Linked DNA regions of Drosophila melanogaster. The protein of the gene in region 2 purifies or fractionates together with the protein of the main gene of each other region. This does not show direct contact. Each region holds a gene or a part of one and is shown on either strand. Other genes may lie near its edges.

Evidence for each region.
Region 1: the proteins of clu (region 2) and porin purify together in Drosophila melanogaster (affinity purification with western blotting; one study listed by BioGRID). This does not show direct contact.
Region 3: the proteins of clu (region 2) and RpS7 purify together in Drosophila melanogaster (affinity purification with western blotting; one study listed by BioGRID). This does not show direct contact.

Annotation. Positions count from the first base shown.
Region 1 is NT_033779.5:10,846,149-10,854,351, reverse strand, and holds porin (porin), read left to right. Parts: upstream 1-3,503; 5' UTR 3,504-3,598; exon of another isoform or gene 3,599-4,836; intron 4,837-5,286; exon of another isoform or gene 5,287-5,321; intron 5,322-5,488; coding exon 5,489-5,808; intron 5,809-5,883; coding exon 5,884-6,111; intron 6,112-6,183; coding exon 6,184-6,484; 3' UTR 6,485-6,927; downstream 6,928-8,203. Other genes in the region: SmydA-3 (SET and MYND domain containing, arthropod-specific, member 3), read right to left, coding at 1-518, 573-799, 913-1,242, 1,467-1,834; Porin2, read left to right, coding at 7,454-7,779, 7,846-8,070, 8,134-8,203. UniProt on the Drosophila melanogaster protein: Forms a channel through the mitochondrial outer membrane and also the plasma membrane.
Region 2 is NT_033778.4:16,184,638-16,192,000, reverse strand, and holds the start of clu (clueless), read right to left. Parts: upstream 5,418-7,363; 5' UTR 5,079-5,417; coding exon 4,865-5,078; intron 4,113-4,864; exon of another isoform or gene 3,847-4,112; intron 3,424-3,846; coding exon 2,337-3,423; intron 2,239-2,336; coding exon 1-2,238. Other genes in the region: CG8441 (uncharacterized protein), read left to right, coding at 6,016-6,189, 6,250-6,837. UniProt on the Drosophila melanogaster protein: mRNA-binding protein involved in proper cytoplasmic distribution of mitochondria.
Region 3 is NT_033777.3:30,204,625-30,211,706, reverse strand, and holds RpS7 (ribosomal protein S7), read left to right. Parts: upstream 1-2,686; 5' UTR 2,687-2,790; exon of another isoform or gene 2,791-3,049; coding exon 3,050-3,217; intron 3,218-3,281; coding exon 3,282-3,614; intron 3,615-3,667; exon of another isoform or gene 3,668-3,809; intron 3,810-3,823; exon of another isoform or gene 3,824-3,962; intron 3,963-4,076; exon of another isoform or gene 4,077-4,214; intron 4,215-4,248; exon of another isoform or gene 4,249-4,385; intron 4,386-4,415; exon of another isoform or gene 4,416-4,551; intron 4,552-4,594; exon of another isoform or gene 4,595-4,731; intron 4,732-4,780; exon of another isoform or gene 4,781-4,924; intron 4,925-4,985; coding exon 4,986-5,069; 3' UTR 5,070-5,177; downstream 5,178-7,082. Other genes in the region: CecA1 (cecropin A1), read right to left, coding at 507-599, 661-759; Anp (andropin), read right to left, coding at 1,487-1,564, 1,627-1,722.

The DNA.
Region 1 (8,203 bases), on a different chromosome or scaffold from region 2:
CTCCTGGGAGCTCTTGTCCTCGAACTCCAGGATCTCCACACACTCCTTCAGCAGATCTATGGCGTCGACGAGGCGGGCACGCAGCTCGCCGCCCTTCAGCTTGCCGGCTATGAAGCCACTTTTGGCCAGCAGCACCAGTGGCACGTGCAGCTCGTAAAGATTCATGGCGCGTGTTCGACTCAGACCCGGTTCGAAGGTGTTCAGCACTCTCAGCACTTGGCGGCATAGCTCCGCCTTGCGCTCCAATTGGTGGTCCGGCAGTTGCACCATCTCGTAGCCCTGTACTCGCCCGTACATCTCGATGAGCAACTGCCTCAGCCCGGTGGCTATAAAGTGCAGCGGATGCAGCAGTGATTTGTACTTGCGCAACAGTCGTTCGATCTCCTCCAGCCGCTTGGCTGCCATGGGCAGCGCTTGCACGGCATTCACCTCGGATTGCAGGGATTGGAGCATCGCCAGTGCATCCGCATTGCTGGTGTCGGAGCCACAGTTCGCGCAGTTCCAACTAGTGTCCGGTTCTGCGTAGTGGATAAGGTCAGCTTATCACTTTCTAGAGGATCTTTTTCGCTCACCTGTTGGCTGCCTGGGCACTTGGAATCCCTCGGCGCACTGACCACACTTCAGGCTGGAGAAGTGCGTTCCCAATTCGGTGGGATCCAGACAGCGTTCGCATTGGCAGGTGAAGAACTTGCCCTGCTTCAGGTGCTTCTGTCTCTGGGCAGTGCCATCCAATGTGTAGGTGTAGCTGTGGTGCAGGGGCTGACCCTCCTCCAAGTCCACCATGGCGCGCAGTCGGATTCTTTGGAAGAGAAACAAATATAGGAGGACTTATTTTAGATGTGCAACAGCGGAAATGTAATTCTAGACATCTTGAACTAGAGAACTGAATTTACAAATCTATTTACAACTCACTTGTATCCCTCGCTGGGATAGATGCTCCTGGATGTGTTGGGCACGCAGTTGTGGGCCAGAATGCCGGTATAGGGAAAGAGGCACCTCAGTGGATAGCCCTTCGGGCTGCGCGCCTCGAAGGCGTTCACCTCCAGCACACCCACCACCTGCATGATCAGCTCCTCGCTGAATCGGTTGGCCAGTTGGCAGGGACCGCGCAAATACTGAGCGATATTAACGCGATCCGCATGCCAGACATCCGCGTCCCTTTGGCGCTCCTCCTTGTGGTGCTCCATGGGTGCCACCTCGTTGTCCCATCGCTCCGGATTCGCCTCCTTGGCCAACAGAACTCTGAAAGTAGAAAGTTTAAAAGGGTATTCCAAATGACAATCATATGAAGCACAACAAGTAACCTATTGATTATAATTAGCTACATTAAATTAAAAATCTTTCTCTTTTTTAATTGTTAATGAATCCTTTTGTATATAACTTTCATCTTGAGCGGATAAAATAGTGACGCTATCAGTTTGCCTGGTGCCTGGTGGTCTATTTTTGTTCCACCCGCTGGGCTTCACCTGAGCGGCATAATACAGTCCAATTGCGGACAGTGCCTGCTGCCGCTGGGCAGGCGGAAGAATCGTGCCCGAGCATCCTTCAGCTGGCTGCACTCCAGGCGGAAATGGGCGTTATCCGCTTGTTGGGCGCACTCCACGCACAGCGGCCAGCCACATTCGCTACACAGCTCCTCCTCCGGATCTGGGTTGGGTTCGTAGCAACCCAGGCACACCACCGGTCCATTGCACTTGGGCCCGACGGCAAAGGGCAGCTCCTCGATCAGCAGACCGTGGCCACGGATCGCTCCCTTGGCCACCAGATAGCGTCCGCAGACCGGACTCCACTGAACCGCTGTCCTATTCACCGACAGCGTTGGCGGCGATGTCATTTCGCTGACTGATGCCGGCTGGCCGCACTCAGATCTCAGATCTCATGTCATGGGCACACCCCACAGATGATGCCTCCTCCCCACTACATGACTACATTTCTGCCTGCTCCGACATAAAGCATCAAAATTGCTGGGCACAGTGGGCATGCGAGGTCCTAGGTGAGAAATTTTAGTTTTGAACAAATTGTCTTGAGAAAACATTGTTCAATTTCTATAATAACTAAAATACCTTACATTTTCATAAATTAAATAATTTACTGGTTGTAACTTTTAAGTTGCTTGTAACTTTTAAGTTGCTTGTAACTTTTAAGTTGCTTGGCTTTGTTAGTTCTATTTCTAAGTACTAAGCACCGATCTATTTAAACATGTGCTTAACATTATTTAAATAATAATTCACAGTGCTTACAGTTCAGTTTTGCTACGAAATATATAAAAACATGATGGTACATTGATCATAACGCGCCGCAACTATCATATACCAATTATTCTGTCATAATAATATGTACAAATATGGCTTGTTTCATGCCATAATTTTCTCCTTACTTTCATGCACTTTAAATTTAGCTATTTATTTTTTATTTTCTGTGCGATTTGCTCCACTGTCCCTTTCACAGACTTGTTAATCCATCCGTCCGCCTTCTTTGACGTAGAGTCGCCATGAGAATCTGTATATGCCGGCTAGCCTGCGAACTGCGAGAAATGGGCCGCTGCTGCCAAAACTAATATTCGGACAGACCGCCCAGGTTCCCCTAGTAGCACCCAGTAGCCCCTGCTGTACGGATGTACCCAGCACCATCACCCCCGCCCCGCTGGAGCGCCCGCGAACTAACCTCAATATGGTTATGCAATCCAACTGCGGGCAGACGCCATCATCGCTCACATTCCCGGCGAAAGTGACACGTGCGGCGGAGAAGACCTGGCACTCTCCGCGGTGCTCCGTGACGTCTTCGTCGTCGGCGCACGATCCGCACAGCGGCCAATCGCAGAGTTCGCAGCGGTCCAGCGAATCGCCGTCCTCTCCGAACTGCAGGAACTGGTAGCAGCCCAGGCACACGATTCCGCTGTCGCGCTTCGGTCCGCGTGCGAAGGGCAGCTCCTCCAGCACCAGCTCGCCCCGCTCCACGGAGCTAGAGGTGGCCAAGCAGCGTCCCAGCACGGCGTCCTCCTGCAGACGGGCCTTCAACATTCTGTCGCCGCACGGCAAATGCACTGGTCTCGCTTTTGGCCCATCCGAATGGGATTATGCGGTCGATTGGCGGCCCTGCACGCAGATTCGTCTAAAAATAAAAAGAGCATCGCACACACTTCATTGGTGTCAATCAATAAAGTTGTAATATATTTATTGCATTTTGATTGCTTTGGATTATAACTTTTTTAAAGCCCATTTACTTGTCCACAACTTTAAAGTTTTCGTTTGCAGGAAACCCTTTTATGTAAAAAAAAAACACTTTGATGTAAGTTAATTGTTCTTAAGATAACGAATTTCTTAATAGAATGATTGAATTCTAATTTCAATAATTATTTTAAGTAACCGTTAGTTTTCAAATTTCCGTTACAAAAAGTGTGACCATTGCCATTAAGAGTGACGCAGCGTTACCAGATAGTATATCTGCGGCTTGTTTTAGGGAATAATTATTGGACGAATTTTTAGGGTTGGTAACACTAAGGCACAGAATTACAAAATTTTTTGGTGTACGTTTGTCGTGGTGTCTCTGTTCCTCTGCGTTTCGCATTACACTCTAACCAAACTAAAACTCATCAAAAGTAAGTAGCTCAGGAGTAAACCCCCTCAAAATTCAGTGAAATGTGATGGATACCCCTATGGGTAGAAGGAAAATCAGGATTTTCGGTGCCAGTGATTTCATAACCTCGAAATGAAAAAATTGCAAGTAGACACGCGCATGAACGAAAAGCAAAAGGGCTGAGCACTTTTTTGTTGGATGACGATGGGCGAGCTTCTTATCACCAAATCACGCAATAATTAATTGATAAATCCGAAATTTAAAGGGGATATTAAGCCGGTTAGCTGTCACACACACATCCACACATGAACAGTCCACGCACACCAATGCCTTCGCAGTTCATTGGCAGCAGCTGCCGGCGAAAAAAGGGGGCAAAGAAGCAGAGAGATCGATGGAAAAGTGCCTGGCGAATTTCCGTTACGTAACGCATGTCGCATCAATTCCGTTCGTTATCGTCATGTTGCCATCCACCAGCGTGCAGCTCGCTCAATAAACATTTTCGATTTCACTCTTTACCGTTCTTTATCGTCGTTTTGTTTGTTTGTGGTCATGTGAGGAGGTGGGTGCACTTCGCGATTGTGGGTGGTATTTTCGCAGTGACGTCACCTGGAAAATCAATAGACCACCTTTTCGGGCAGCTATTCACTTAGCTTTCCACTTTCCCTCATCGATTTCCCTGCTGTTATGCAACTGTCGAAAAAATGAGCTGCACATCCACCCAACCACCCCCTTTATAATCTGCTTGTCAAGGTCATCGTCAACGAGATGCTGATTCATTTTCACCGGGACATCCACCTGATAGTATTATTTTCAGCATCTAGTGACCAGGTTATATCACCTGACTTCCGGAACAATAAGAGCCCATCCCATTTAACGTTTGGCTGCCGGCCATAAAGATTTTTGTCTGCTGGCCGCTGCTTTTCATAATTTTCTGCCTTGATTGCCTTGAGTTTCCCCCCACCAATCCCCCCGAACACAACATGAAATATTTATATTGTTATATCTATATAATAATTTCAATTAGATGTTTTGGGTTATTTTTGTTTGATTTTTTTTATGCTCAATATCGGATAGAAATTTATTTATCCGCGACTAATATTCCTACCGCGACTGTGAGTCGCATTCCTGACGTCACGCAAATAGAAACAGCGAAGCAGTGACCACAGCAGACGTTGCAAATGTGCAGTTAGCTTCTGAGTCAATGATCGCTAGCCTAACGGGACTGAACTGACCAGCAATTAATGCCAGCAAGAACGGAACGTAAACATAGAGAGAGGCAAACCTGTGGCCAGATAAATAGGGAAAATCTCAGTATTTTTATTAAAATTTTAGTTTAAAAAACCTATAAAAATATTTGAAAAATAAATTTTGATTTAAATGGTTTTGCATTGGTATAGAAAACCCTTAATTTCTTGGAGTAAAATAGACTTAGTCACTATTTGTTTTCTATCTTCGCTTCTATTTTTTGCGCCACTTTATTTTGCCCAGACGTGCATTGACCCCCTCCTCAGTCACTCAGAATTTTCGCTGCTTCAGTTGGTGATTCTTTGCATGTGGCCGCCTTGAACACTAATCTAAATTGATTTCTTTATTTTCGCCGCACAAAATTGACATTTAGCCAAAGTGAAAATGGGGAAAAAGCCCTCGAAATTCTTGGGACATGTTGATGCTGTTTTTTGGCGTCTTTTAGTTTTCACTTTTCATTTGCGGCCGATAGAACATTTTGAAATCAAGTCGAGCAAAAAGTAATAATCATTATGTTGCTGATAAGATTAAACTTATCGTTCGCTAAACGCAATTAATGACCTGGCGAGTGAAATGATTTCGCAATAAGTATCATCGTCATGATTATCGATTATTCACCAACTAATTGAAGGTGCGATTTAATGCATTCCATTTCAATCCATTCCAGATGGCTCCTCCATCATACAGCGATTTGGGCAAACAGGCTCGCGACATCTTCAGCAAAGGCTACAACTTTGGCCTGTGGAAGCTCGATCTGAAGACTAAGACCTCGTCGGGCATTGAGTTCAACACAGCCGGACACTCCAACCAGGAGTCTGGAAAGGTCTTCGGCTCCCTGGAGACCAAGTACAAGGTCAAGGACTACGGCCTGACCCTCACCGAGAAGTGGAACACAGACAACACGCTGTTCACCGAGGTTGCTGTCCAGGATCAGCTCCTCGAGGGTCTGAAGCTGTCCCTGGAGGGCAACTTTGCTCCTCAGTCTGGGTAAGGATCACATGTTATTACATATATGTTCACTGCAGAATAATTAATATTGCATATTTAATTAAAAATCGTCAGAAACAAGAACGGCAAGTTCAAGGTTGCCTACGGCCATGAGAACGTCAAGGCCGATTCGGATGTGAACATTGATCTGAAGGGCCCCTTGATCAATGCCTCTGCCGTGCTTGGCTACCAGGGATGGTTGGCCGGCTACCAGACCGCATTTGACACACAACAGTCCAAGCTGACCACCAACAACTTTGCCCTTGGCTACACCACCAAGGACTTTGTTCTGCACACAGCTGTGTAAGTATTGCAATTGCCACGCATGGCAAATGAAATCAATGCAAACTAATGATTGCCTTGTCCGGTGTTTAGCAACGATGGCCAGGAGTTCAGCGGCTCGATCTTCCAACGCACTTCGGACAAGCTGGATGTGGGTGTACAGCTGTCGTGGGCCAGCGGCACCAGCAACACCAAGTTCGCCATCGGCGCCAAGTATCAGCTGGATGATGATGCCAGCGTGCGCGCTAAGGTGAACAACGCCAGCCAGGTGGGTCTGGGCTACCAGCAGAAGTTGCGCGACGGAGTCACCCTGACCCTGTCCACGCTGGTCGATGGCAAGAACTTCAATGCCGGCGGCCACAAGATCGGTGTGGGTCTGGAGCTGGAGGCCTAAGTCCGTGGTTTTCCGCTAGTCGTGAAATCCTTGAACGTTGTCTAACATCCCCACACGCCCAACAACAACAACAACAACAATAACAGCAGCCAGACAAGTGCAGAAACAACAACAAGATCAAACAAAATAAAAGATACGATATTCTTTAAAAACAAACAACACACAGTCAAATATAAAGAGAATCTGCACATCTTAGCGATTCGATTGGATTGGATTAGTTGTCAGCCGGCCATCACCACATCCGCCCATTCCCTGCCCCAGCCACGCGAATCTGCAGGAGAGACACTGCCAAACAAACGATGCAGGGGGATGGATGGGTGGTGCAATCGATGGGTCGGTCAGGTCAGTCCGTCGTCGTTGGATGTAGCTTTGATTAGTGCATTGAATATTAGCGAAATTGTTGTTGACAAAAGTGCAGTAAAAATACATTTACCTATTAAACGAAAAAAAAAAACAAAATGGAAAAGACGGAATATTATGGCTCAAAAGGCATTGCATTTTTTTCAGTTCTCAAGGCTTTACGGATTGCCTGCAAAATCCTGCGGCGAAACTAGGACACACATAACACCAAAATCACATCCTTAATAACAATCTTTACCTTTTCGTTGTGCATTTACCTGAGAAATAAATCGAGAAGAAATAAATTATCTTGATTGCAGCGTTGGTGGTGGAAGGCTTGGGAATGGTTAGCTTAATTTAAGGATTTAAGCTTGAAAGAAAAAACTGTATAATAAGATAAGTACCTTATACTGATCCCAAGTTCTTTGTGCTTGAAAAACTTAACTTTTTCGGTTGGGCACAGGACTCCGTGCGTTTTAGTTCACAGGTCTCCAGCGTGTATAAAACTCGATACTGATCAGGCAGCGTTAGACATAAATTTTCGGCTAATCGAGGCTGTTGAAAAGTAGACAAAAAATTTCGAAATTAGTCGGGCCATATATACCATACCACCTATTCATACAGCCCGTAATGGCCGCCAAAACACCGACATACCCAGATCTGGGCAAGCTGGCCCGCGATCTCTTCAAGCGCGGCTACCATCCGGGCATCTGGCAGATCGACTGCAAGACCCTGACCAATTCGGGGATTGAGTTCTTCACCACCGGCTTCGCCAGCCAGGACAACAGCAAGGTGACCGGCTCGCTTCAGAGCAAGTACAAGATCGAGGACCAAGGCCTGACCCTAACCGAGCGATGGAACACGGAGAACTGGCTCTTCGGTGAGATTATGCACCGGGATAAGTTGGCACAGGGCCTGATGTTGGCCGTCGAGGCCAAGTTTCAGCCGGGATCAAAGTGCGTATTCCTTTGGGGATCGTTTAGGTAGCATCCTTTAATTATATAAACATCTCGGGTCAACAGTGAGGCGGATGGCAAGTTCAAGATGGGCTATGCCCAGGACAACTTTAACTTCCTGGCCGACATTGGACTGAACTCGGAGCCGATACTCAACTGTTCGCTGGTTGTGGGCCACAAGGAGTTCCTCGGCGGCGTGGGCACCGAATTTGACGTTGGCAACACCGAACTCAAGGGCTGGAAGGTGGCCCTTGGTTGGACAAATGAAACTGCCACCCTCCATGGCGAGCTGTAAGTTCCCCGTGTGACGAGATGTGGGAAGACTTTATCTTATGTCTTTTAATCAATTTGCAGGAAGAACGGCGACACCTGGTTGGCCTCGCTGTTCTACAAGGCGAGCGAGAAGATCGATGCCGGTATCGAG
Region 2 (7,363 bases):
CCGTTCACCCGCTCGCTCATGATCACTGCTCGCTGTTGGATCGCTAGAGCATCTTGGGCATCGCCCAAGAGGTAGCTGAGCCTGGCCAGCATGCGCAGGCAGGATCCGTTTTCCTGATGCAATGCGCCAAATACGTTGTTCAGCAGGTTGAGTGCTCCGCTGATTAGCTCATAGCCCTCCTTAAACAAGCCCTGTTGGATCTTGGCCTGGCCCGTGGTGTAGAAGTTATAGGCGTCGGTTGCCCGGGGACTAATGTGCTTCACAATTGGGAACACATTGACGATGTCGTCGTCGCCAAAGGTTGGCTTGTGCTTGGACTCGAAGTTGTACTCTCGCAGCAGCACCTGAATACCAACCTTCAAGCAGAAGGCGCGCATCAGACTGATACGCAGGATGCCGTATTTGGAGACCGCAGTCTCAATCGAGTCACAATCCAATTCCCAGTCCCAGTAGACCTTGGCCTCCTTACGAATTTGCTGCCACAGGGATCGGGGCGTCATCAGAGTCCAATCGGATGCGGATGAACTATTGGAGGAGCCAGACGAGCTGCCATTCTGATTGCCTGTCGTCTGCTGTTGCTGCTGACCCTTTCCGCCCTTGGAGGACTTGTGCTTGTTGTGCTTACCGCCGTTGCCGCGTTTCTTGTGCGCCTCCTCGCTGCTCACGGCCGGGTTGACGGGTCCGTTGGTCAGCAGACAGTTGAGGAAGTGGCTGATGGCAGCAGAGAGGTGCAGCGGCTCTGTATTCTGCATGTACGTATAGTAGATGTGCTTGGTGGCCCGTACGATCAGCTCGAGGACAGCGATCCTATGCAGGTAATCCATGCGAGGCATTTGGCTTAAAATTTTGATAACCTTGCCCAAATAACGCACGTTGATGCCGTGACTGTGCAAAGATTCTGTTAGACTCTGGCCATCGATTGGTGACGATGAATGGGACATATGTTCCTTGATAAAGGCGGGTATCTGCTTAAGGACGAGAAACTCGGCTGCTTCCTGCACGAGCACCTTCTGTTTGGCCAGCGAGGTGCCCTCCTCGCCATCCGCGTGACGAATGCCAGGCGAGAATACGTCGGGGTTGAAGCGGAAGTCAAACTCTTTCTCCTTCAGCGATCCAACGGCGGCGCAAGCCCGCTTTACTACCTCGGCAGCTTGCACCTCATTCGAAGTAGCTACATTGGACTGTGCTTCCCGGATGGCATTAACAATGGCGGCGGCCCTTGCCTCGCCAGAAGTGGACCTCTCCTTCTTCTCCTCCTCTTCGTTTTTCTTCTCCTTGTCATCGGGTTTTTCAGCTCCGTTCACTTTACTTGCCGCTTCTGCTCCTTCTAAGGCTGGAACAGGATTCGCCTCCGATTTTTCAGACTGCTTTATGGTAGTAAGCTGCTGAAGGCGCGCAGCAGCAATTCGGATAAAGTTAACATGTCGATCCTCTATAAAAGCTTCCAGCAGCTCTTGACGCAGGCAGCACAACTTGTGCCTGTGCTCGATAGGGAAGCCCATATCAACTAATTCCTTGCTCAGCTGCACGTCCTGAAGCTTCAGGAAGTTCACGTCTGGCGGGAACGTGCGCAATAAGTCGAGGATGTAGTGTCGGCCATCGTTTCCAATAATGCCCTTGCACTCCACCGAGGAGCACAGCTCCACGGGTTCATCCCGCTCGTTAAGCACTACGTGTGGCAAAATCTTCAGATGCTTACCGGCTTGTCTAAGAAGCTCCAAGTATTTGGGATGGCTGAGCACCGTCTTTCCAAAGTCAATGGAGCCATAGACGACGCTTTGCTCCTGCTCCCGCTCCAGAATTCCGGGAATAATAGATTGGGCAGTAACACGGTAGCCGCGATAATCAACGACGACGGTTCCCAGTGTGTATAATCCTTCAATATCAACGGCATTATAGACACGCACGCCGTGCAGATCGTATCGTGGGGCAACAAAGGCGGCTGCATCGCCGCCCAGTTCCTTGTAATGGTCTCTTACGTCGAAGCCCATCGAGAAGAAGATATTGTTCCAAATGAACATCTGCATCTTGGTGTCCTCGCCGGGATTAATGGCCAGCACATTGCCGTCGATAACGGCCATGGCGCCCCTCGTGGCGGCAGTCACGAAATCCCCGTGCACCTTGAAGATGGCGCGCTCGCGCAGCAAGCGCTCCGGCAGTGTCTTACGTGGCAGTTCCCGTGTCGTCTGTAGCTCTTCGTTCCAGTCGCGCGTCTGTCCGGGGATGTGCTCTTCGTAGCTGCGGGATGGAAGGATTTAGGGTATTTAATTAATAATTATTATTACTTTGTTAACATTTATGTAGTAATACTATTAAAATCTTTTTGCTCAACCTACCCCAATTTTGAGCTGAATGCATCCTCGGCACGAATAGCGTCCACTGTGTGCTCCAGGATGGGAGCTGCCCACTGGTACACCTGATAGGGCGTGGCTACACGCTCGAAGGCATGACGCATGGTGCGTCGCTTCTGGATGGTCTGGAAGGCACGTCGGAACGATGGTGATATGTGGGAAAGCAGATCGATCAGCGAGTGGCTGAGGTGGCTTGGATTGTCGGGCTTGGGATTAAAGGTGTCGTCTGTCGACTGGTTGATGAAGAAGCCCTTGGAACAGGCTGAGATGTGGAATCGTTTATCCTCCATGGTGACAACGTACAGATACATGAGGTCACCATGCAGCTTGCGAGGACCGGGTGGCGGGTTCCAGGCGGATGTAGTCAGTACCTTGAGAGCCTGCGGTCCCTTGGCGTTCTTCACATTTGGATGCAATGGCAGAATTGGCGGATCACTTACACCCGGAGTCACATACTCCGGCGGAGTGCAATCCACGGAGTCCGGTCGCGTCCTCTTCTTGTCCAGCAAATCACCCTGAGTGATCGTGTTTAAGTAGGTCAGCGAAGTACAGTCAATGCCATTGTACGCGTCGGCCGGGTCAAGGTTTTTGAGAAGATCACGGACATGGCGCACATGAATACGGGCCTCCCGCATGGTGTACGGCTCCTCTACCACTTTGATCGTCGAGCCCTGCTCAAGGTTATTGATTGACTTGAGTTCGGCGAAATTGTCGAGCGTCACGTTGTCCAGCTGCAGCGAGAAGCATGTACGATGGCACGTCTCTTCGCGGTCCATCAGCAGCTGGTGGATTTCCTGCACCAGCTCCATGCTGGACAGCTGCACGCAGAGCAGATCGGCGCCGGGACTGCTGATGTTCACCGTGATGCCAATGTCCTGCAGAGCGTCCAGATCAATGTCATCACCATCAGCCTCAGCATCCGGTGCTCCTCCTTCCTGCGGTTTCTCCACATTGGCATTGGTATCGGCATTGTCCTCAACTGCATCCACCACTGTGGGCTTCTCGGCGTGTCCGTTGCTCAGAACGGCTTCGGTTGTGGGTTCAGTTGGGCTTTTGTTGCGGTTCTTCTTGCCTACATGGGGCGATGAAGAAGTAATTTGTTGTTAGTCAATATTGGGAAAGGCATATGGAGCATTGTGTAACCTATTCGATGTATAGGGAGAAACGTGAACTTTGGACCGACTTTTGTTTCCATGTCTCTCAGAAGAATCTTGTATAAATCCGTTATTTATTTATTATGGTTCATTAGTATGTTTTTAAAAACAAAAGATTATTCTTAGGAATTTAAATTTCCAAGCAATGCTGCCAAGTTTATGTTAGAATTTAATGTTTACCATTCTTAATTTATAAATAGTGGTTTATATCTAGTTTAATAATTAAACCTTGATATTATTTGAAAAATGGTGACAGAATTAAAGGTAATGCAAATACGTTACACGTTTCTTTTCTAAAATTGTCTGGCAATATATAATAATTTAAAAAGAGGTGTCTCTACCTCCAGGCTCCGATTTTTACATAACAATACTGTCCGCACACTTTTGTCGCTCAGTTTGTCTGTGTTCGCCGGCAAGCTGTGTGCTTGCATATACATATAAAGGCATATGTACATACATTTACAACAAAACAGTAGAAAAACAAACAGAAAGAGAAAAGCGAGCTGATAAGGCCAAAGGGGCCGGGTTCGTTCGGAGTCCGTACGAACGAACAGTCCACCGAATAATCCAATCTCCTTTCGATCTCTCAGGAAAACGGAATGGGTTTAACACGACCATGCTAATTTCAACAGCCGTATACTAAATTACAGCACTGTGAGATACATAGAGATAGAGCTAGGGAGAGAGAATGAGAGAGGCAAAGAGAGTGGGGAGAGGAGAAAGCAAAAGTGATAAGTACAATGTTCATTAACCGCAAGGAATTCGGAGAGAAGGAGACAAAGTGTAGAGCGATGCGTCTACGGATAGAAAACATGATTTACATAATTGTCGAACAATTTGCGTGTGTTAAGTGCATGCATTTCGGGCCGCGCACGTGTTAATTGTAGGTTAAACGCAACAAGAAATCCGCCCGGGGGGTTAATGAACATTTCGTCGCCGTTGCCGGGTTAATAACATGTGCGTTGCCATGCCAAGAGGAAGAGAAAGAGCGAGAGAGATAGGGAGCCTCACACTTGCAGTTCTCACACACGCACTTAACTCCAATAATACACACACACACATTTACGATTGCAATTGTAACCCACGCGGTTTATGGAGAGAGGGGGAGAGGGAAGGCTCGTAAAAGGGGGTGGAGGGGCAGCCATAGACAACGGGCGCCGCTTTTAAGGCATTATAGGGAAGAAAAAGCCCATTACGTAATGTTAAAAATGTTATGTGATTGGCTTTTGTGGCAAATAATATATTGAGGCAGTTTCCAAGGCAGCAAAGCTAAGAGGAGGTGGTGATGGGTTGGTGTGTGGGTGGGTGGGTGGTTGATTGGTTGGTTGAACATGGGCGTAGGCGGAAAGTTAAACGCACCTTTCTTCTTCGCAGCCGGCCCGTCGGCAGCCGTGCCATTGCCATTGACCAAGTTCTGATTCGAATTCTGCTGATTCGAATTCGGATTCAGGTTCTTTTTGCCGCCGGCCGTGTTGTTGTTCTCCTTGGCCTTGCCGCTGGCCTTTGTTGCTGTTGCTGTTGCATCGCCCGTGGCCGTTGCATTTGAATTCTTCGCCTCCGTTTCAAGCGCCATGCTTTTGTTTCACCTGCTCGCCAAAAACTCAACAAAACCAGCGGAGGAGACACAGAGTTCTAGTTCACGTTTCTTTTTTTTTTGGGCCCGTCCGTCCGTGTTACACAACTCTAACCGCTCGCCGAGCTCGGGGTGATTTCGGTTCGATTTTCAGTGTCTTTCTGGTCGATTGCGAACGTGATTGTTGTTTGGTTAACGATCTCGTACGCATCTATGACAAGTGGGTCTTTGCTAGTTCTGTTCTTTTCAGCACATTACTTATCGAGGATATAAATCGGCCGATTCGCTAGAAAATAACGCGTTATGTTGTTAACGGCTGAGAGTGTGACCACCGGGTGAACATTTAAATATACCGCTGGCATTGGCTTGGTTGCAGTATTTTAATTAGTATTTAGTTATTTGCTGTGTATAATTGCAGATGGACAACAACTAGTGATAGGGATGCACACGCAAAAACGATACCAATATATATGATTGCATTTATTTTAACAACAATTGTGTTCTGTTTAATAAAAGGTAATTTATGCACAATACAAACTTATTTTTATTTAAAACAAATTTTTAAGCCTTTTTATAAAGTGCGTCATATTAGCGTCGTTGAGGAACAGTGAAATTTGTAACATGGGTAGGTTTTTTTTATTTTATTTGAAGGTGAATTTCTATTCAACAATTTTTAAAAATTAATTAATGTAAAGGGCCTGTTTTAAGGATGGGTTGGTTCATAGCTGGACCTACTGTTATGAAATTATCTCAAAAATTGAAATTTTCCTGAAATTCCACCGTTCCGCCATCGCCGCTAACTTATCGACTCTAATTTGACGCATACAATTTTACAGATCAAGCATAGTCCCCGTTAAGTTTTTTTTTTAATTCGGTGTGTATTTTTTACGACTTGTAATACAGCCACACATAAAATACTGTTTTTAACCAAACAAACATGTCGCTTATAAAGAATTTGGTAAAAGAGCCCGAACAGAAGGCAAAGAAAAAGAAAAAGAATGCGGGATCTGGAGAAAGCGATTCCGATGAGAAGGACAAGCCTCTGCGGCCGTTCATCAAAACCGCGACAGATCTACAGAGGCTGAAGCTGGAGAAGCTCATGAAGAATCCGGTATGTGTTTGCATTGGAAAGCTGGGTGGACATTCATATTAATAAACCTTTTATTGCCAGGATAAGCCCGTGGTCATACCGGAGCAGCGTCGCGAACGGGACTTCATGTCCTCGGTGCCCACGTTCGTGCGGAATGTGATGGGAAGCAGTGCTGGAGCGGGTTCCGGCGAGTTCCATGTGTACCGCCACTTGCGACGCAAGGAGTACGCCCGCCAGAAGAACATCCAGAACCAGAGTGCCCGCGAAGCAGCAGATGAAGCTTACCAGCAGAAGTTGGACGACAACAGACGCGCGGCCGAAGAAAAGACTGCTAAGAAACGAGCCAAACGGTTGAAGAGAAAACAGAGGGCGAAAAAGCCGAGAGAGGACAAGAAGCCACTGGCTAAGGAAGCCTCAGAGGATAGTAACACAGATTCCGAGGAAGAGCCCACAGAAGAAAAGGCAGAAAGTAGCCCTGAGGAAGGACAACAGGTGGCATCCAAGGAATCCGACGACAATAACACCCAAGAAACTTCGAATGAAGAGGCAGTGAATTCAAATACAGAAGCGAAAAGCGCAGAGGACACAAATGCAGTGGAATTAGATAGCACCGAAGCTACAAAGGAATCCCAAAATGTGGATCAAGAACAAGACAAGCCTGTGCCTTAGTACCTCCTGTTCTATTCCTATCAATAAACCGTTTAGAGTAATAAAACACAGTGCGGTTTTATTTATAGTACTTTTGTAATATATATATATTAAGCGATTTCTATACATCGCCAGTATCTAGGGGTTTTCATCTGAGGCCATCTTTCTAAAGCAGCTTGGTTGAGAAGAAAGCGTTTTGCGAATTATGCATTGAGTTGTCGTGGCTTTAGTGCGCATTTTGTTTTTTGTTGTCTTACATTTATAAGGTGCATCAAATGTTGCATTTTTGAGTATAATAAATGCTTTCAAAATTTGACATCGCAGGCAATACATTAATTATACCCTTGACAGAAATCCACCATTTTTAGTTCTGGGTATAAACATATTTTTTTCTGGTTTCTTGAAGAAGCAAGTTTTTATTGTTTTCAATAATTAGATTTCTTTGAATCCGAAAAATCGTTTCTTCTAATTGTTGGATTTTTCTGCGTTTTGTTTTTGTTTTCTCAGATACATCTATATGATTTCTCGGTTTTGCACAAATAATTAT
Region 3 (7,082 bases), on a different chromosome or scaffold from region 2:
CAGCAACTTGCAGGGTAGCATTTAGGGTGTATAGACCAACGTCCTTCTGAGGATTTAGAATCATAGTTAGATGCAAAGAAATCTTTTAAAATGACTAAGCTTACTAATGTCCCGTCGAAGCCAGCTTCCAATTGTGGCCAATAAGTGGTCAGGATGAGGACAAATAAAATCCACAAATTAATCTAATTGTTTCAGTATTTGACAAGCGACTGATAATTTAAACTAAAAGACTGGTCCTTTTATAGGTGAAACGAATTATATTTCAACAGATAAGACATAATCTCGGCCTTTCCAAATCGGAAAAGAAGCGATTTGTAATATCCTGTATAAATAATGCCTCTTAAGTGTATTTAAAATGTGTGTATAAATTCAAGAGTTCGCTTTTCTCCAACTCTTTAAAAAACAAAGTTTGAATAGAATTCTTTAAATTTTTAAAATTGTTTTATTTACAGGGAGCAACAGAATAAATAGATCTTTAAATAAATAATTATAAATAATCATCGTGGTCAACCTCGGGCAGTTGCGGCGACATTGGCGGCTTGTTGAGCGATTCCCAGTCCCTGGATTGTGGCATCCCGAGTGTGCTGACCAACGCGTTCCTTCGAAAAGAAGTTAGTCAGTTAGTTTCCGTCTTAACAGATTTCAAATGGAAGAACTTACGATTTTCTTGCCAATTTTCTTCAGCCACCCAGCTTCCGATTGTCCAATGGTGATGGCCAGAATGAGAGCGACGAAAACGAAGATGTTGTAGAAGTTCATGGTGATATTTTCTTGATTTTTTCTTAGGAGAAGCTAAAGATATTGATATTGCAGTGAGGTCTGAGCGACTGATGACTGCGATACAAAAGGCGAGAGCTTTTATAGGCGAACAGCCAGCTTGAAAAACAAAATGACAGATAAGGCATGCACGGGGATTTTTGCAGAGAAAAGTACACTGAAGGTAACCGATCTGATTCCAAGCACACATCTGCACATCTAGGGAACAATCGGGGATTTCAATGCTATAATCCAAATATGTAAATTACAAATTGTAATATCCTTTAAACGGTTCTGGGCCAATTTGAATTAGAGCTTTAATAACTCTATCCTTTTGGCATTTTGAATTGATCTCTTTCTATCTTTCTAAGACAGTCAAATTCAAATTTACTCTATCACTCAAGGGCAATTTATTTACATAAACGCATCCAATTTGTGGTATTTTTCGAGGGGAATCACTACAATATTTTACTAAAGGCACTAAATTAAGTTTGAAAAATTCAATAGGCATTAAATGACAATAAAAAATAATTGTTTACTGAGCACGTACGAATCTGAAAACTTATTTAACATTTTATTGTAAGCGAAAGCGGTATGTATGTACATACATCTCGGTCTATATTAACTAACTTAACTAAAAGTCTTGCGTTAGTAACTTAGTTGTTTTTCAGATTTTAAAATTTGTGTTTATTTTCGTTAAACGATACATTAATTAAATTGCAGTGCAGAATTACTTCGGATTGATCAATTTTTCAAAGGGCTTAGCAAAGCCAATTCCCACTTGAGCAGCATTGTGTATTGCGTTTTCCTGTAGAAATACAAATGTTTAAGCTTCATTGTAAACTACAATTGTTTAAAGAAGAAACAAACCACTTTGTCAAGAATATCAATAAATACTGCATCCGAAGGACCCACGCTGATGGCCAAAATGAGGGCCAGGACGACAAGGACCACAAAGTATTTCATAACTAGATCGCTGGGTTTTCCGAATTTTACACTGATGATTTAGACTGAAAAACAAGTGGCTTTATAGGCAATCAACCCACCGAAAAACGTTTACAATAATAATTAGACCTTAAACATATTAATTACAATATGTAAAAAAAAAGAACTCGTGTTTTTGCATTGAAAGAGACTTAAAAAGGTTTTTTATTCAAGAGCATATTTCTTGGAATTACTAAAAACCTCAACAAGTTACTAAGTTTTCATTCAATAGTGTTCTATAGTAATTAAGTTCTACAATTCTGTAGGTTAAAACTCATACGGCAAATGGCACTGGAATTTACATATATTATATTATCAATATTATCAACTTAAAAATGTCCGTTGAAAAGATTAAATATGTCTGCGTAAATATTATCTACACATATATTTAAGGCAATAACTAATATTTTTTATTATGTTGTTAATAATCTCATTAAATTCCTAATTTATGGAAATCCATTCCAAAATCCAAAATCTGTGTAATTACTTTTTTTTAAAAAACGTTACATGTGGTAACAATTGCGCCCCCTGTGGGGCTTTAATCGCAACATAAGTGGTGATACTCGCCGCTGAAGCATGGTAGATAACCCTAAACGAACCTATCGATATATATTTTCAAAGAAACATTTTATATTGTTCATACAACAATTTTTTTAATTTTATAGGCTAACAACTTAACTTATTAAAAAAAAATTTTATAATAAAGTTTTTCCAAACATAAACCCATAGTGGCATACAAACTTATCGATGCTAACTCATAAATTCGTTATACACAATCTTTGCTGAGAACTATCGATTTTTACACGCAAAACATTAAAACGCTGAAACACTTCAAAGAAATATAATCAAATTTTCTTGAATGGATGTTATGTTATAATGTTAAATTTTATATATTTAGCCATCCCTCGTATTTTCGACGAGTAATTGCTCCTGCAACTGTATCGATAGTATCGCACAACGTTCGCGCGTGTCTCATCGATAACAACTCGCTCTGTTTTCCACCTCTACGTCGTGGCTCGACTTCCTTTCCTGTCAAAATAGTCGACAAAGGTGGTACTTTTTTTCTTCCGTCGCCGAAAATGGCCAAAATACGCGGTCGCCACAACGCAGTGCAGCGAAATAATAAGAGAAAAGGCCGCAATGATAATGGCAAATTACGATTTTCTTGTGAATCCAGAGAAATGCTGGCGAAATAACGCCGATTGCCGGCGATTTGTGATTGTACTGCGTTGTGGGGAAGCGTCTGCCGCAGCGAATTTTGTGTTTGTAATTGAACCGAAAGCTAAAATACCGGTGATGAACATTGCAGATGGCTATCGGCTCCAAGATTATCAAGCCCGGCGGCTCGGATCCCGATGACTTCGAGAAGTCCATTGCCCAGGCGTTGGTGGAACTCGAGGCCAACAGCGACCTGAAGCCCTACCTGCGCGATCTGCACATCACCCGTGCCCGCGAGATCGAGTTCGGCAGCAAGAAGGTAAACAGTATATGGCGTACATGTGGAGCCTTCAATAGTAATCCGTAACCCACTCTGCACGCAGGCCGTCATCATCTACGTGCCCATTCCACAGCAGAAGGTGTTCCAGAAGATCCAGATCATCCTGGTCCGCGAGCTGGAGAAGAAGTTCTCGGGCAAGCACGTCGTCGTGATTGCGGAGCGCAAGATCCTGCCCAAGCCCACGCGCAAGGCCCGCAACCCCCTCAAGCAGAAGCGTCCACGCTCCAGGACTCTGACCGCTGTGTACGACGCCATCCTTGAGGATCTGGTCTTCCCCGCCGAGATTGTGGGCAAGCGCATCCGCGTCAAGCTGGACGGCTCCCAGCTGGTCAAGGTGCACCTGGACAAGAACCAGCAGACCACCATTGAACACAAAGTAAGCATAAGCATCCTCCACCTCAAAGAAGAGTGCATCGTGTGTGTTAGCAGGCGCGTACCCTCGATATTTGGGCCTTCCGTGCCATGGAGCTCAATCTTCGCCAGGGGACGCAGAACAGTCAGGGCCAATTACTCGTTATTGCAGGCATTAGAAGCCATTGCGGTCCTGCATCTCCAAATATTGGCCACAGTTGGTCTTTTGATACATCGTTCTTGTGTTTTTCGCTGGCTGTCCTTCCAAAGCCAGTGATTGTCAAACAGAACGTACATTAATGGCAGCTTATCACTCCACAATGTTGAGCCGAGTTTTCACGGTTACTGCATTACTTTCCGGCTCGCCACATCATTACACACTCAAATCGATACTTGAAACCATTTAAACAGTAGAATGAAAAGTCAAATAAGGGGGATAACAGATGGATAGAAAGATTATATGTTTAAATGTACATAGAACTTTCTATCGTTTTTGTGTTATTTGCTGGAAGTTACATCCAAAGCCAGTGATTGTCAAACAGAACGTAAATTAATGCGGCTATCACTCCACAATGTTGAGCCGGCTTTCCAGGGCTACTGCATTACTTTTCGGCTCGCCACACTCTCGTAGAATCTTTTAAATACCTTGGTTTCTACCACCGTTCTTGTGTTATTCGCTAGATCTTTTCATGGCCTAGCGAGCGTCAAACAGAACGCAAACTGAAGCAACGAATCACTCCACAATGGTGGGTCTACTTTACCAGGACTGCATCATTACTAAAGGATTGCTACAGTTGAATATCCACGAGAATGCTAATTGTGAACTCCGTTCTTGTGTTATTCGCTAAGCGATTACCTAAGCTCAGCGATTGTCAAACAGAACGTAGATTAACTGCCGCTAATCACTCCACAATGTTGAGCCGACTCTCAACGGCTACTGCATTACTATATGCGCCACATTCATGTCAATCAACACTTAGCCCTTGAATACTTTGGTTTCCATCACCGTTCTTGTGTTATTTTCTGGACGTTGTTCAAGTCCAGCGATCGTCAAACAGAACGCAAAGTAATGCAACGAATCACTCCACAATGTTGGGTCTACTTTGCCAGGACAGCATCATTACTTAAGGATTGCAACAGCACCTTACATTTAGAGTTACTCATCTGAAAACACACACGATGCACTTTGAGTGCCGCCTATTTGCCTCTCGAGCGCCGTTTAGTTTCCTGGGGCCTCGGGACTTCCTATATAAGCGGAAGATTAATCCAGCCTACCGTACGATATCTTCGCTGCGGTATTTTCTGCCGCAGCGGAGGTTGCGGTGCTGTACACTGCAATAAATAAGTTAATTCCTCTGATCGTGTAAACTAATACGTTCTCTATTTATCTCTCCAGGTCGACACCTTCACCTCGGTCTACAAGAAGCTGACTGGTCGCGATGTTACCTTCGAATTCCCCGACAACTACCTGAATGTCTAGAGCGGCGGGTTCTCGTTCGAGAGTAGCACTGGTTCGCCGGTTCATCTGGGAATATGAGTTTTTTACATGAGCTAGAGAACGTGAATAAACATTAAACAATCTAAAACTAAGCAAACTTCCAATTAAGCCAACTCGCTCTCCGTTGTCCTGTAATTAATCAGCGTTAAGCGCAAAGTTTCCTGAGTCTCGCTACATTCGTTCGAACTTTAATCCTTTGAAGGAGCAGTATCCTGCTGGGAAGGGATGTCACATGTTGTGATTAAGGGCAGCCATAAAAGGGGTTATTACATGGCGGAAAGCGCCATTCATTTGATGCCTGCTCAACTGCTTAATTAAAAAGTTGACGTATGTTCTTCCAAGACTCGCACGTGTGGCGAAAGGGGTTAATCTTGTGGCTACATTTTCCACTTGGCGCCTCCCATTTGCATACCATGTAATTATGCCTTTTGAACAATCACGTGTGATTGTTGGTGGTAGCAACATGAAAGGGTGTGGGTTTCTTGGATTGATTCATTTTTGGAAAGAGAAAGCTTTTCGACATGGAACACCCCATTAAAAGCTTATTAACCGCCATATTTGAATGTACTGCATGTTCGTTCATTTGGCAAAGGCTGCTGAACGAAATCAATCTTCTAAAGAAACCCCTTGATTATACTTAGTTGTATATTATATGTTTAAATTAATCATTATATTCTAATTCTATTTTATTACGATTTAGTAACCGTAATATAGCTATGGCATTCTGCCATCCCCCTGATTTTATCAACCAATTAATCGATCCTTCTGCAAGAAAACCACAATAGGTTTCATTAGGGCATTAGTGCATTCCTGCTCCGTTTAAGCTGTCCAAGTCGATTGATTGCAGTTTTGAAATTCAATTAGAAGCCACCGCGAAATCACGCAATTCAACAATTCCGAAATGTTACACGAGCTAAGGGCAAACAATGGGAACCACAAATTGCTTGTGTATATTGGTGGGTTAAAGCCAAAGGACTGGCAGGACATTCACATGAAAGTGAACACGAATGGCTTTAAGTTCGGGAGTAGAAAGACAAGACTAGTTGAGTTGAACCTTCGATTTTCGACAATTTGTTGATGGTGTCAGGTGGGAATTCCCGGTGAGTTGTGGTGCTACCACCAGGGGGCATAAACCTCGGGCGAGACGGAAGGTGCGATGACAAGTTGGTGGGATCTCTGGGGGAGGTGGCTCGCCGGCTATCGGCGATTCTATCTAAATGACCCCGCCGAATCGTCTATTATTGATGGTGCCTAATTGTGCGCCGTTCTAGACGAACAGTTATCATTAGGGGTGTTGTTTTTCAGATGGGATGGGTGGTGTGCTCGTCCTTGAAGCGATAACGCGCCATTTCGCCTTGGGCAACTCCACTCCACGCCCTAATTAAAACGCTGCCCACACACTTGCAAATGGACTGGGGGCACTTTGTATGTAGATTTTATGTGACATGTGCTTGGCAATCGCAGTTCGGTTCCCACCACATCCTGTCGCCGGAATTGGGAAATTCCCAGCCCCTGCAGGACCCGGCGGCTGTCCTATATTACAAACTATTTCAAATTATTATGTCATCTTCATCTCCGATGGCGACGGATTTCTGAGTCACGCCGCAGTGCCAAGTTCACGAGTTTCGTCTGCAAATAAGCGAAAATCACAATCTGCACTGAACGGCTTTTATATATAGAAGTAATATAATCAGCGGGTGTCCAATCGGCTTTCGGCTTAATAATCCATTACTGTGGTTTACAATTTGCAAAGATTGAGCCATTACTTCTCTAAGCCTTTGCTTGTTGAAATAATATACTATATATTTTGTAGTTCAGAGTGCTACATTTGTTGTCTAATAAATTAAAGAAAACAATATTCATTGCAGAAGTTCTAAAACTAATTTTTATGAATATGCACTTAAATGTTGCTTTAACTAAATTCCGACTAAATAACTTTCCTGTATCAGAGCAAGCAGTTTATTCGAGATAATGTACCACGAAACCGTATGAAAC